Linked DNA regions of Drosophila melanogaster. The protein of the gene in region 2 interacts with the protein of the main gene of each other region in a pairwise test. Each region holds a gene or a part of one and is shown on either strand. Other genes may lie near its edges.

What was found. The genes of interacting proteins can lie anywhere in the genome.
Region 1: the proteins of EMC8-9 (region 2) and EMC2B interact in a two-hybrid assay, tested with the Drosophila melanogaster proteins (2 studies listed by BioGRID).

What each region holds. Positions count from the first base shown.
Region 1 is NT_033777.3:16,987,787-16,995,763, reverse strand, and holds EMC2B (ER membrane protein complex subunit 2B), read left to right. Parts: upstream 1-3,885; 5' UTR 3,886-3,996; coding exon 3,997-4,030; intron 4,031-4,171; coding exon 4,172-4,580; intron 4,581-4,706; coding exon 4,707-4,863; intron 4,864-4,925; coding exon 4,926-5,174; 3' UTR 5,175-5,430; downstream 5,431-7,977. Other genes in the region: EMC2A (ER membrane protein complex subunit 2A), read left to right, coding at 1-359, 486-642, 705-953; CG31274 (uncharacterized protein), read right to left, coding at 1,667-2,033, 2,098-2,529, 2,584-2,627; MESK4 (misexpression suppressor of KSR 4), read right to left, coding at 5,879-6,245, 6,310-6,741, 6,796-6,839.
Region 2 is NT_033778.4:22,879,210-22,887,145, reverse strand, and holds EMC8-9 (ER membrane protein complex subunit 8/9), read left to right. Parts: upstream 1-4,455; 5' UTR 4,456-4,546; coding exon 4,547-4,744; intron 4,745-5,225; coding exon 5,226-5,639; 3' UTR 5,640-5,824; downstream 5,825-7,936. Other genes in the region: asrij, read right to left, coding at 1-387, 444-503; YME1L (YME1 like ATPase), read left to right, coding at 1,204-1,230, 1,335-1,732, 1,790-1,849, 1,903-2,092, 2,146-2,238, 2,344-2,426, 2,482-2,798, 2,855-3,245 and 1 more; PIP5K59B (phosphatidylinositol 4-phosphate 5-kinase 59B), read right to left, coding at 7,707-7,936. UniProt on the Drosophila melanogaster protein: Part of the endoplasmic reticulum membrane protein complex (EMC) that enables the energy-independent insertion into endoplasmic reticulum membranes of newly synthesized multi-pass membrane proteins like rhodopsins.

The DNA.
Region 1 (7,977 bases), on a different chromosome or scaffold from region 2:
GAGGAGGTGGTCCAGCTGTGGGTTGCTGTGCTAGAGGACAAGGTGCACAAGACCGGCAACGAGCGGCATCTCATCCTGGAGCAGGTGATCATCGCGGCATTGGATACGGCTCGCTTTGACATCGCCACCAAGTGTACCAAGCAGCTGTCCCTCGAGTTCCCGGGCAGCCTGCGCGTGATGAAGTTCAAAGCGATGCGCTACGAGGCCCTGGAGCAGTACGATGAGGCCGACGAGGTCCTGGATGCAATCATTGCTAAGGACGAGACAAATGCCGCGCCCAGGAAGCGCAAGATTGCCATCCTTAAGGCCCGTGGTCGTCGCCTGGAGGCCATCAAGGAGCTCAACGAGTATCTGAAGAAGTAAGAAAGCTAAGTTCATGGTGTTTTTGGAAGAACGGAACCAAATTAGTTTCCGGCATCCGGTTGCTAGACAACTACTTATCTTACCATGTACGATAATCTCATAACTATTTAATATTCCTTCAGGTTTATGTCTGACCAGGAGGCATGGCATGAGCTGTGCAACATGTATCTGGCTGAAGGCGAGTTTGGCAAAGCTGCCTTCTGCATGGAGGAGGTTTTGCTGCACAATCCGCATAGCCATCTAATACACCAGCGTTTGGCAGAAATACGATACACAATGGTGAGCTATATAAGCCCACTAACCAGTAATGAAGTCCATCTTATGAATTAATTTTCTTTCAGGGTGGCGTCGAGAATATGGAATCGGCTCGCACTTACTATTCGCAGGCCCTGAAGCTTAATCCGCATAACTTGAGGGCCCTTTATGGCATTTACTTGTGCTGCAACCATTTGGACAACTCTCGTGCTGTGAGCTCCAAACGGAAGGAGCTGCAAAAGTTGAGTCAATGGGCCCTCGAACAACTTTTGACTAAACAAACGATTGTACCCTTGGAGGCTGCCTTTGGAAACCTGGAAATTAAATCGAATTGACCAATATAAGCACTAATAATTTGTGCAATAGATGCCAGAATGTAATGGTTCCAAATATTCTCAGAAGTGGGTTTCCAGTTTCTGTTCTTTAAGCAGGTTACATAGATAAACAATTAAAGAAATAGGAGTAAAAACAATTTTATAGTCAGTGCATCCAAGCAACTGTTTTTGGTGGTCTAGTATTGTTGACGGCATTGAAACCGGATAATTTAAAACATTTATTATTGAGGTAGGCAAAAATAGTCCTGTAATAAATTTAGATTAAACGCAATGAACTGCTTTGAATCATACTTTTAATCTTTGGCCTCAAGTTTTAAGCAATATTAACTCGTGCCCATGTGCTTACATCCGTAAAATTAATCGGGCACTGAACGACATTCAGAATAAGTCGAAGAACATTTATTCTGAAGATGGTGCCTATTGTATACTTGACTATTCGCTGAGGTCATTGACTCTTATTATTGTAAAAATTGCTTTAATGCACTAGATTAATTCTCACTAGGTTTGTGCGTGTCCATCGTCATACAATTGCAAATTTATATACGTACATGGCAATAACCATATGCATATTTACTTGCATAGCACTGTAGGTGCAATCGACGACTGCAGGGCAGCGAGGGCAGCGCTGATAATCCAGCGGACGGTTAAAAATAGTCCAACAATGGGACAGAATGCAATCAGTGGAATACCCCTCCCTCCTTCGGCATATTACTTCAGTTTGTGGAGGAGCCGTTGCCAAACATCCGTCCGCTGTGCGATTTTCTGGAATACTTTGGACGGATGATGTCCTTGAAAGTGAATGCGGATGCGAGTGGAGGCTTTTCCGAATTGCTCGTGGAGTCCGGACCCTGTCCTTGTGAGGAAGACAGCGTCGCATAAGCTGCATTCCTGCTGGTTGGAAGTCCATCGAGATATTTTAGCTGGGGAAGCACCTGTAGTATATACTCGCGGGGTCCTTGGCCCCCGAAAACTGTGCGGATGCCAGGATTCCCCATGCAAGAGAGCTGATCCAGCGCAGGACAGTGCCGTTCGATGCGGTGTATCCAATCGGTTATATTTGCTATATCGCAATTGTTGATCCTGCAAGACGAATAGAATATGTGTTATTGCGTGGACCCATGTATGCAAGATTCAGGGTAATCACCACAAGATCCTTAAGCTCGGCAAATAAGGAAAAGTGTTTATGTCCAGGTTTACGTTGCGGTCCAGGATTAAAGTGTCCAGATCCTCGAAAAAGGAGAGAAATCTCAAGTTTCGGAAATCATTGTGACTCAAATCGAGAAACTTGGTCTGCGCTGCGAATTTGTCGGCCAGTCGCCGCGGAATTGTCTTCAGGTTCTCATAGGCCAGCGAAATGCGTCCGTTGTCCTCTAGGATGCTTTCCGAAAATGATACATCTTCACTTGGACAACTGCTGATGGAAATGTTGCCACTAAAGGAATACGGATTCGGCGTAATCATCTTCCCCACGTTGTCTTCGGTCAGCAAAACGTCGTTATATTCGTAGTTCAAGCTCTCCAGCGACTGAATGTTGGCACAATTCCTGAGGACCTCCGTTAGGCAGGGATTCAACGGGCTGGAAGCGGGATATTTTGGTCATTACATGGATTTTTGAATGCCTATCTACTACCTGTCTTCGGAGTTGGAGCGTTCAGAGGTCGATGTTCCAGACATAACGGCGTAGATCTACATAACTGGCAGCAGCTCCTATTCTTGGTGTTTTCCAATCGGGATCGGGACTCCGTCGGATGGTATTTATTTTGGTCCAACGTCTGTGGTAGACTGAGGGAAAAATGACACTTGACTCTCGCTCCGCGCAGATTATCTGGATCTTCCGCTCCCCAAGCAAACACATACCCATATCTGTGAGTGTATTGAAACAATTGTCATCTCGGTGGTCACAATCACCCAACGCACTCAAAGTACACTCGAAAAAAGCTCTGTTGGAAATGTAAACATGTAGTGAATCTTTTCTGCCACAATTCCTCCTTATTTTGAGATAAGTTTATAAATAAACGTTTTTTTTTCTCTGTAAAATTACTCGTTCAGATTAGTAAGTGTAAATGCACAAGTCGAGAACAACAAAGTAAGGTATGAGGAAGAAATCTCTATTGTTTTTCCTTTGTTGATGCTGATACTCTTCCACGGAATTATCTACGGAGATGGTGTGTTAGTTTTGCTGAACGCTTGGTATACTATTTAGTTATTGGTTTACCGAACTACTTATCCAGTTAGGAGTACGTTTGGTAAGAGGGTTTAAGGTGTTCTTTCTTATCTCTTTTATCAAACTCAGGAACTTTGTATTACCTTACGTGGCTGGGAACAATTGGACCATGTTAATGCGCTGCAAATAATTAATAAGAGCTCCTTGTAATATAAATCACATTTATTTACTTGTTTGTTCATATAGAGCTAAGTTGATCGATTGTGTCGTATGCCGAGTGCACTCAGAAACGGAAGGGAAACGTGAAAATATGTTGATTATGTGACTATACATATATACTAACATAAGTAAGCCATATGACTTCCTTAATTATCCAATAGGAATCTAAATTTATAATGTTTTCCGGTTGATCTTTTGAATTGGACTTTAAGATATTTGAATGGCAGAACGCAAAGGGTACTCTGCAAAAATGTTATTACTTGTACCCATCTTGTACCCATATCTGGCATACCACAAGGGAAACACCTAGGTTCGCTCCTTTTTACCGTATTCATTAATGACCTAGTTATTATAGTTATATCACCTTCTCGTTTACTTATGTATGCAGATGAGAGGAAAGGATATATATACATCATTGGATCGGAAACGCTTTCTTTTACAAACTAGTCAACAAATCCTGCATACTGTGTAACTGTAGAGTAGAGTCTTACGATATTCAAAAAGTAGGTTGGCAGCGCCACGCCACTGTTATTTGGTATAATCTAACGGCCCATTATGCTGCCACACTTTTATTTTGCCAGGAAAGGAAATCGGCAGTTAAAGATTACAATTGGAAAATTAAGTTAAATTAATGAGATATTTAAGTGCGCCTAAGTGAATATGTCGCTAGATTATGAGAAGATGAGCTGGTCGGGTGAGTTTTTGGCTTTTCCCGGCTTCAAACAGGTGCAGACCACGTCAGTGGGTTGCTCCCAATCGCCCGGTTTCCGTGGACCCAAAAAACGGGGCCATGAATGAAAAGTGCGGTATCATAATCGTATGATCATCCTTCCAGATGTACGCGATCAGTTCAGAACATGGCGCGAGGAGACGGGTCGCCACAGCGAGGAGGTGGTCCAGCTGTGGGTTGCTGTGCTGGAGGACAAGGTGCACAAGACCGGCAACGAGCGGCATCTCATCCTGGAGCAGGTGATCATCGCGGCATTGGATACGGCTCGCTTTGACATCGCCACCAAGTGTACCAAGCAGCTGGCCCTCGAGTTCCCGGGCAGCCTGCGCGTGATGAAGTTCAAAGCGATGCGCTACGAGGCCCTGGAGCAGTACGATGAGGCCGACGAGGTCCTGGATGCAATCATTGCTAAGGACGAGACAAATGCCGCGCCCAGGAAGCGCAAGATTGCCATCCTTAAGGCCCGTGGTCGTCGCCTGGAGGCCATCAAGGAGCTCAACGAGTATCTGAAGAAGTAAGAAAGCTAAGTTCATGGTGTTTTTGGAAGAACGGAACCAAATTAGTTTCCGGCATCCGGTTGCTAGACAACTACTTATCTTACCATGTACGATAATCTCATAACTATTTAATATTCCTTCAGGTTTATGTCTGACCAGGAGGCATGGCATGAGCTGTGCAACATGTATCTGGCTGAAGGCGAGTTTGGCAAAGCTGCCTTCTGCATGGAGGAGGTTTTGCTGCACAATCCGCATAGCCATCTAATACACCAGCGTTTGGCAGAAATACGATACACAATGGTGAGCTATATAAGCCCACTAACCAGTAATGAAGTCCATCTTATGAATTAATTTTCTTTCAGGGTGGCGTCGAGAATATGGAATCGGCTCGCACTTACTATTCGCAGGCCCTGAAGCTTAATCCGCATAACTTGAGGGCCCTTTATGGCATTTACTTGTGCTGCAACCATTTGGACAACTCTCGAGCCGTGAGCTCCAAACGGAAGGAGCTGCAAAAGTTGAGTCAGTGGGCCCTCGAACAACTTTTGACTAAACAAACGATTGTACCCTTGGAGGCTGCTTTTGGAAACCTGGAAATCAAATCGAATTGACCAACATAAGCACTACAAATTTGTGCAATAGATGCCAGAATGTAATGGTTCCAAATATTTTCAGATGTGGGTTTCCAGTTTCTGTTCTTTAAGCAAGTTACATAGATAAACAATTAAAGAAATAGGAGTAAAAACAATTTTATAGTCAGTGCATCCAAGCAACTGTTTTTGGTGGTCTAGTATTGTTGACGGCATTGAAAAACATTTATTATTGAGGTAGGCAAAAATAGTCCTGTAATAAATTTAGATTAAACGCAATGAACTGGTTACTTTGAATCATAATTTTAATCTTTGGCCTCAAGTTTTAAGCAATATTAACTCGTGCCCATGTGCTTACATCCGTAAAATTAATCGGGCACTGAACGACATTCAGAATAAGTCGAAGAACATTTATTCTGAAGATGGTGCCTATTGTATACTTGACTATTCGCTGAGGTCATTGACTCTTATTATTGTAAAAATTGCTTTAATGCACTAGATTAATTCTCACTAGGTTTGTGCGTGTCCATCGTCATACAATTGCAAATTTATATACGTACATGGCAATAACCATATGCATATTTACTTGCATAGCACTGTAGGTGCAATCGACGACTGCAGGGCAGCGAGGGCAGCGCTGATAATCCAGCGGACGGTTAAAAATAGTCCAACAATGGGACAGAATGCAATCAGTGGAATACCCCTCCCTCCTTCGGCATATTACTTCAGTTTGTGGAGGAGCCGTTGCCAAACATCCGTCCGCTGTGCGATTTTCTGGAATACTTTGGACGGATGATGTCCTTGAAAGTGAATGCGGATGCGAGTGGAGGCTTTTCCGAATTGCTCGTGGAGTCCGGACCCTGTCCTTGTGAGGAAGACAGCGTCGCATAAGCTGCATTCCTGCTGGTTGGAAGTCCATCGAGATATTTTAGCTGGGGAAGCACCTGTAGTATATACTCGCGGGGTCCTTGGCCCCCGAAAACTGTGCGGATGCCAGGATTCCCCATGCAAGAGAGCTGATCCAGCGCAGGACAGTGCCGTTCGATGCGGTGTATCCAATCGGTTATATTTGCTATATCGCAATTGTTGATCCTGCAAGACGAATAGAATATGTGTTATTGCGTGGACCCATGTATGCAAGATTCAGGGTAATCACCACAAGATCCTTAAGCTCGGCAAATAAGGAAAAGTGTTTATGTCCAGGTTTACGTTGCGGTCCAGGATTAAAGTGTCCAGATCCTCGAAAAAGGAGAGAAATCTCAAGTTTCGGAAATCATTGTGACTCAAATCGAGAAACTTGGTCTGCGCTGCGAATTTGTCGGCCAGTCGCCGCGGAATTGTCTTCAGGTTCTCATAGGCCAGCGAAATGCGTCCGTTGTCCTCTAGGATGCTTTCCGAAAATGATACATCTTCACTTGGACAACTGCTGATGGAAATGTTGCCACTAAAGGAATACGGATTCGGCGTAATCATCTTCCCCACGTTGTCTTCGGTCAGCAAAACGTCGTTATATTCGTAGTTCAAGCTCTCCAGCGACTGAATGTTGGCACAATTCCTGAGGACCTCCGTTAGGCAGGGATTCAACGGGCTGGAAGCGGGGTATTTTGGTCATTACATGGATTTTTGAATGCCTATCTACTACCTGTCTTCGGAGTTGGAGCGTTCAGAGGTCGATGTTCCAGACATAACGGCGTAGATCTACATAACTGGCAGCAGCTCCTATTCTTGGTGTTTTCCAATCGGGATCGGGACTCCGTCGGATGGTATTTATTTTGGTCCAACGTCTGTGGTAGACTGAGGGAAAAATGACACTTGACTCTCGCTCCGCGCAGATTATCTGGATCTTCCGCTCCCCAAGCAAACACATACCCATATCTGTGAGTGTATTGAAACAATTGTCATCTCGGTGGTCACAATCACCCAACGCACTCAAAGTACACTCGAAAAAAGCTCTGTTGGAAATGTAAACATGTAGTGAATCTTTTCTGCCACAATTCCTCCTTATTTTGAGATAAGTTTATAAATAAACGTTTTTTTTTCTCTGTAAAATTACTCGTTCAGATTAGTAAGTGTAAATGCACAAGTCGAGAACAACAAAGTAAGGTATGAGGAAGAAATCTCTATTGTTTTTCCTTTGTTGATGCTGATACTCTTCCACGGAATTATCTACGGAGATGGTGTGTTAGTTTTGCTGAACGCTTGGTATACTATTTAGTTATTGGTTTACCGAACTACTTATCCAGTTAGGAGTACGTTTGGTAAGAGGGTTTAAGGTGTTCTTTCTTATCTCTTTTATCAAACTCAGGAACTTTGTATTACCTTACGTGGCTGGGAACAATTGGACCATGTTATTGCGCTGCTAATAATTAATAAGAGCTCCTTGTAATATAAATCACTTTTATTTACTTGTTTGTTCATTTGTAAGTTGACCGCTTGTGCTGATTTCGACATGCAGGCGGAAACAGAAGTAAAACGTGAAAATATGTTGATTATGTGACTTTAATCTAGTCTTACAGCACGGCCCAAGTTATGTTTATTTTGCTATTAATCAAAGTTTACTATTAATGCTCACTACAGAGGCTTGACTGTAGTTACACCTTACACACTGATCGTAACTGTCTAGGCTGACATCTTTGGCTCTTACCCCAAGCTTCGATTGGAATCACTCACTCATTCATTAAGTTAATTTACCCACGAGCACTCGCAGTCGAAAGAGACCAAACGGCAGCACTAGTAGGCGTTATAGTCGAACTCGGAGGGGCGAGCCCCCGGCGGACTTTCGCTCTCTGAAATACCGCTCGTAAAGCTGCCTGGTACTATGTTA
Region 2 (7,936 bases):
GCTGTACACGTCCGCCGAGCTCGGCGAGAAGGGGGCCAGAGTGAAGGCCCTGCCCAGATTCTCGTCCGGTGTGATGGAGCTGATGACACCGCCGCCCTGTCTACGCTGACGCAGCAGCTCGCCCAGATGGGAGTTGGGTAGGCGCATGATCTTCTCGGCACACTTCTGCTGGTAACTGAACTTGCCCACAAAGTAGCCCAGAATGACGCCCATCACGACCTTGGGCACGGCGCCGTACTTGACGTGTCCCTGCAAATAGCCGTTCTTGACGCCGAAGTAGGCCAGCAGGCCCAGTCCAGTGCCGAAAGGCAGGCTGCGCTGGAAGAAAGACTCAGTGTTGCACTCACGTAACGCCTTCACCTCCTCCGCAGAAAACTGATAGTCCGCCTGAAATAGATGCAAACGTTTGGGTAGTGGCAGTTTAAGGACCGTAGAGCACTCACCAGGGGGTGGGGAGCGTGCGGCGGTGGATGGTGAGAGCCATCGTTCAGCGGGGAGTCCATGCTGATACAATTTAATGTGGAATTTGTGAAATGTATAACGGACCAACTACCGGCGCAGCCGATTTGCCAACCCTGGTCGCCGGCGAAACGGGCCAGTGACTTCTGCACATCTCCAGAACTAGTGATGGTCGATCTATGCACGATGGTTGCGATAGGGACTCTTTGTCTATCCTAAACTGGTTAAAAACCTTTTTCTTTAAGAAGTTAAAACTAAATAACAAAGACAACATTCATTTACAGTTGATACAATGGAATTTGTTGTCAATATAAGTAAAATTTGGAATAGACTTTCATTTGATCTTAGTAGTAAACAAATCACATTTTATAGAATGCAAAGTTTGCGCTGATTATCATTCATTTTATTTATACAAAATTTTATATATTTATGTAAGTTTAGCAACACTATCAGCAGCGTTGACTGTACGGAGAGGCAGTTTAGATATATAAACCAAATTAAAAATCGAATAAAATCAAAACCACCAGTCGACAAACGAATACACTTTTGAAAATTGCCAGTAATTGGAGAACGCGTGCTTTGATAAGAGGTGGAAAGTCGCGCACCACCAGAACCAGGGATGCAACGCGCACGACGCGACGAGATTATGACATTTTCGCTGTCAAGTAAAGTTACAGCTGTGTCGTCTGCTGGCCGCGATCCTGAGCCTGCCCTTGTAATTTATTGAAATTTGTAGTTTTGGCAATGTTTTCCACCACCACACACTCCGTGGTAAGTGCTGCCCGATGACAATACATTCATTCGCCCACCTGACTGCTCCATTTCTACCACCCAACACTTGGAATCGGGGAACTGCGTGTGATGTGATGTGACAGCCCTACCTGTACCTAGGCAACTTCAGCAGAAAGCCGCACTACTACTCCGTTAATCGAACCAAGCTGCACGGGAGCGCGGGAGCTGCCCGGTTGTCCAAGTCCACGTCCACGTCCAGCCGGAGTCATGACCTAGTGCTCGACCTGCGGAACCTGCTGAGCCGTTCGAGCGCCAGTATACAGGGCATGGTGGAGAGGGCGGCTCGACTGAATGGCATTCTCGACCGGCGGCTGGTCGATGATGTGCTGGCCAAGGTGACGAGCATGCTGCCCTCCATGCGCGATGTCCGAGTCACGTTGGAGGAGTCGGCCACACAGATCGGTCGTGTCCAGCTGCAAAATTATCAGTTCGAAGTTTCGCTAACCGGTGCAGCAGGTTCCGTGCCCACAGGCGCCAATGTGTACGTATTGCAAATTATCCTTTCGAGGCTCCGCTTAATCCTGGTTTATGTTTTCAGCAAGGTGATTCCAACTATTACACCAGGTCTTCTTCGTCCGCTCTTCTCACAACAACAGCTGTAATTATACGGAAAGTATCTACGAACTATATCTCAAATTTAGCTCTTTATAGAAATCAGATACGTGGCTTTAAGACGGATCGTTCCATTGAGGCGGAACAAAAGCGCAATCCCACAATGACCTCCCGACTAAAGAATGCTCTGGCCAACTCGCCCCAGCGTCTGGATGGGGACACACCCCTTCAGGCTGAAAAACTGAGACGGCTGCTGGCCAAATCCGAAGAGCATGGATTTAATAAAGCCGTAGGACGACAGGGTCTCTCAATTGTTAACCGTACTAATGTTTTGTATTCCAGGAGAGCCTGAAAATTGCCTTTGCCGAGGGCTACTTGGCCGCCGCTAACTCGGAGGACTCTCCAAAATCAGGAAAAACTATGAAATATCTGAAGGTACGAGTTTAAATTCATTCAAAGTGTACCATGATTACTTTGAAAACCACAGAAGGCCTTGGTCTTCTTTAGTGTTATAAATAAATTCTAGTAATTGTCACGCAGACTTTGCAGACTATCGTCGTTATCGTCGTGTTCTTGGGCATTTTCCTGAGCTTCTTTACAACCTCCAATGGATCCGTATTTCGGTGAGCCTCCACGTTATTAGTTTTGCTTTACCCATCTGATATGCCTTTCTTTCAGCAGCATACAACTGGGCAACCAGGTTGAAGTGGACCCTGAGGAGATCAACGTCACTTTTGAGGATGTCAAGGGTTGCGACGAAGCCAAGCAGGAGCTCAAGGAGGTCGTTGAATTCCTGAAGAGTCCGGAAAAGTTCTCAAATTTGGGCGGAAAGCTTCCAAAGGGAGTGCTCCTGGTTGGCCCGCCGGGTACTGGCAAAACACTGCTGGCCCGTGCCGTCGCCGGTGAAGCCAAAGTTCCTTTCTTCCATGCTGCCGGACCGGAGTTCGACGAGGTGCTCGTAGGCCAAGGAGCCAGACGAGTGCGTGATCTGTTCAGTAAGTAGATTTCAATTATCCAAAGTGCTCAACTAAACAAGAACATCATCTTGCAGAGGCAGCAAAGGCCCGTGCCCCTTGTGTTATCTTCATTGACGAAATCGACTCGGTGGGCGCCAAGCGAACCAACTCTGTGCTGCATCCTTACGCCAATCAGACCATCAATCAGCTGCTCTCCGAGATGGATGGCTTCCATCAGAACGCTGGCGTCATTGTTTTGGGAGCCACCAATCGTCGCGACGATTTGGATCAGGCTCTGCTGCGTCCCGGCCGATTTGATGTAGAAGTCATGGTGTCGACGCCCGATTTCACTGGACGTAAGGAGATATTGTCTCTGTATCTGACGAAGATTTTGCACGATGAAATAGACTTGGACATGCTGGCGCGCGGCACCTCTGGTTTTACTGGAGCGGATCTGGAAAACATGATTAACCAAGCGGCGTTAAGGTAAGGAATAACTTGTGTTGTATTATTCAATCACAATTTTGAAGAGCGGTACTAATAATTCTAACATTTTGGCAGAGCTGCCATCGATGGAGCCGAAACGGTCAGCATGAAGCATTTGGAAACGGCACGAGACAAAGTACTTATGGGACCCGAGCGCAAGGCTCGTCTACCGGACGAGGAGGCCAACACCATAACCGCTTACCACGAGGGCGGCCACGCGATTGTGGCCTTCTACACCAAGGAGTCGCATCCGCTGCACAAGGTGACCATCATGCCCCGCGGACCCTCCCTTGGACACACCGCCTACATACCGGAGAAGGAGCGTTACCATGTCACAAAGGCACAGCTGCTGGCCATGATGGACACCATGATGGGCGGTCGTGCTGCTGAGGAACTGGTCTTCGGCACGGACAAGATTACGTCGGGAGCCAGCAGTGATCTCAAGCAGGCAACCTCGATCGCGACGCATATGGTCAGGGACTGGGGCATGTCGGACAAGGTCGGTCTTCGCACCATCGAGGCGTCAAAGGGTCTGGGCACCGGTGACACCCTTGGTCCCAACACCATTGAAGCCGTGGACGCGGAGATCAAGCGCATCCTCAGCGACAGCTACGAGCGGGCGAAGGCTATCCTGCGAAAACACACCAGGGAGCACAAAGCGCTTGCGGAGGCGCTTCTCAAGTACGAGACTCTTGACGCCGACGACATCAAGGCAATACTGAATGAAAGCCAGACGTAGTTCCCCCATCGGTGTGGTTTGATGGTGTTCAAGGATCCAATTGGAAGGCCGGGTTGGTCTGCCACCGGACATTCAGCTGAACTGCTAAATATTTTTAGTTACAATATACATATATAAAAAACCGGAGAAAAAAACCAAGCAAGAGCGAGACGCAGACGGACAGTTAAGAAATAAAATGTTACACATATTCAGTTATGTTTTCCATCATTCACGTTAGAATTAAATATTAGTTTGAGTAATAAATTAATTTGAAGTGGAATCCACATATTGTTTGCGCGCCCATATCGATGTGACCAGACTACTGCAACCTATGTTAGAAACCATTTTCTAGAACTTAAGTTATAAATATATTTTCAATGTTAAAGACATAATTAACAAATATAGTTTTGATCACATTTTTTGTGGAATCCATTCCATGCTCATCCATTTTAGTATTTTTCATTGTATATTTGACGTTTGCGGTATATTTGAACAGCTGCGTCGCGGTCACACTTTCTAGCTGTCGAATTTCCAATTCATGTTTTATTTTTTGCCGAATAAATTGAGATAATATTCTGAGAAAATGTGCGACTACAAGGTCTCGGAGCGGGCGTACGCCAAGTTGATATTCCACGCGGCCAAGTATCCACACCAGGCGGTCAACGGACTCTTGCTGGCCGAGAAGACATCGAAGGGCTCCCAAGTGGAAATCGTGGATGCGATTCCGCTTTTCCACCAGTGCCTGTATGTCACCCCCATGGCGGAGGTGGCCCTCATGCTGGTAATTACCAATTGCCCTTCCTAAACTCACATCACGAGGGGCTCGGTGCATTTGTGTCCGGACAGCAATGTGGTGCGCCCCATAATGGAACTATTATGGCTTCAATTTGTATCTAGATCCTCGCACCCTGGCCAAACACTCCGCTATCCAAAAGATATATAACTATTCTAACTTATTGCGGCTGCATAGTTATCCAGTGTTGTGCTTAGAACAGAAAGGTTTATGTTCCAAGCGATCTTTATTTAGTAAAATGTACCTTGTACCCCACGATGGTATTTTAATATTAGCATATCAAATTCAAAAACTAGTGTCACACCACTTTTACCCTGTTAGAAGTTTATTACCCAAATTAAACTAGCAGTCTTAAAGCATTGAAGTTGTGAAGACTGAATTAAATTTAAAAGCCGATAAGGTTGTACCATTGTTTAAATTAAAACATTTTATAAAATAACGATAATAATACATTACCTTACACTTTCAGATCGATGCCCACGCCGAACGGGAAGGATTAGTAATCGCAGGCTACTACGCAGCACCGGAGAACTTCTACGACAACCAGGTCGACAAGACCCCAGCCGCCAAGATAGCTGACAAGATCCAGGAGAACTTCAAGAACGCCTGCTTTGTGGTGGTGGACAACAAACTGATGACGCTGCAGCACGACCGAGCCGCCATCCAGGTATTCAACTGTCCCGGAGACTCTGGAGCAAGGTGGTCAAAGGCCAAGTTTACGCTCTCACAGGCGTCCGATACATTGGAAGGCGTGTCGCTGCTGCTGAAGCGCGGAGCCATGCGGGATTTGGTTGACTTTGACAACCATCTAGATAATCCGGACAAAAACTGGACCAACGACTTCCTGAATCAGCCGCTCAACGATCTGCAGAAACTGTACTAGTCGTCCGTTTCAAACGTACGTTTTTTTTTTAGTCTAGCAAAATCGCATTCGAGGGAACATGCCGGAATTTCAACCTTGCAATTTAATTTATTGTAATTACATTTGGATTTCAGTAATCTTTAGAATAATGCATATAAGTTAAATAACATTCAACTAATTAATAAATAATCAATTCTTTCATCATGTTTTGAGTCAAATGTTGTCTGCAGTCCGAGTCCGTCTGTTGGTGCACCTATTGTAATATCCTTTTTAAGTCCGGTCCGGTCCGGTTCTGTTCTGTTTATTGTGTTGAGTAAACCTAAGCGCGTTACAATTATCGTTAATAAATACAGATGAATAATATGTATATAATTTTGCTTTTGGTTTGTCTGGCTTGTAAATTGAAATATTTTACAATAATATTGTAATATCGCGATTGCTGATTATACATAGGTATACATAATACGTACTTATGTGGATATATCGGAGATCGAAAGTATCGCAAAAACGTTTATTTATATAATTTCAGTGTATTGTATATTTTCATATTATCTGATCGAACGCATAACGAACTCTTTACACCGTACACTAAACGTATAGGGGACCGGGACTACGAATCACTGATCACGGATCTCTGATCACCAACGGGATGCCATCCTGAGCACCTTACTCGTATTTGATTTGCCAGTTATATGCTATATGCTTCTGTAGTTCTGTGTATAAGGAGTATGCTTTGGGCTTGTATATAATATCTTTTGCTTGATTGAGTTATGTCTCTTGTTGGTTATTTTTCACCCAGTGTCCGCTGGAAGGGATGGGCAGGTGTGGGTGTGGCTGTGGTCGTGGTCGTGGGCATGACATGGGGGAATCTGTTCTACGTGGGGCGCCTTTTGATTATATCCTAGCTATACAAGAGCGCCTGAACACGCAAGCATAATCAGTATGTAAGAGTATGAGGCATATTTCGCTCGGACTCTTTCTCAGTCCACATCGTGATATATCTGGGTTGGTGTGTCTTGTGTTCCGTCACCACATGCTATGTTAGTTGATCTATAAGAATGCAATAGAGAAGTCATGTATCAGTGGGATGCTGTGGGGGAATGGCTAGGGAAGAACACCCAAACGAAAGATGCACTGCAATTTGGAAAACTCTAGTAGTGTACGATTCTACATGGACGTGTGCGAGTCTAACTCTGTGTGTGATGGGGGTGGAGCTGTCTAGGTGTGGAGGTGTCGTGGGTGCAGCGGTACGGGACGTATCTATGTGTGCTGGGGATCGTGTCTAGAGTCGGTCTCCTCTGATATTTACCATTCCCGCGGACAGAGAGTTGATGGCCTCTTCCACCGTCGGCTTGTGTCGATCGATTTTAGATGAGTTTATGGGCGAGAAGTTGTCTACGATTGCAAGCGTGAACGAATACACATATACAGATAGATATAGAAACACAAAAAGCGATTTCAAAGCAAATCTCAAGTGCCAATTACCGAGATCACCACTCGAACTGGAGTCCGTAAAACTTGGTGTGCCCTCTGTCCATGTGGGAGTGGAGCCCTCACCTGAAGCGGGCGGGGTCCAGGCCAATCCGCCGCGGGATCCGTACTGGCTGCTCGACGACGTGTCCACCGCCAGTAATGTATCCAGATGGACTTCCGAAACGCTAGTTAAACAATAAATCAATTTGTTACAAATGGGTATTTCCACTCGACGGCGGGATAGCTTAGATGGCTAACATACATAAGCATTAATACCTCACAATGTCCTCCTTGTAGGAGCCTCGATAGGCGGGTCCAATGTTCATCTTGCGATCCAGATAGTAGGACTGCTGATGCTGCTGCGACTGCTGGTGATGGTGGTGATGATGATGAGACCGGCGACCTATCGACGAGCTGCTGTTCTTGTTCGAGCTGTCCTCGGAGATGTCGTCAAAGGCGGGGGGAGGAGTCGAGCTGCATGAGGGCGTTGTGCCTAGCAATACAATGAGCAGAGCAAAATATACAACGGAATGAGTGGCAGAAGTAGACAGTAGTAATAAAAGGTAGCTGGGTAATGGTGTAGTGTGGCTGGGTAAGCGAGGTGCAAGCGAGTAGCTAATCCCGTCCCTGTCCGCGTCCAGTCGATCCCTGAGTGCCGTCGCTCTCGGGTATCGTGGAGGGCGCTGCCTTGGGCGCTCGTCTCTTGCCCCGTCTGATCTGCTGTCCAGGAGGACTCCTCGCAGGCTCTACGACCGGGTCGGGAAGCGTAAGCTTGGGTAGAGGTCTTCTAGGACGCTGTGTCGCCTCCAGTTCTCGTTTGACCTCCAAAAAAGCACTGACCGACT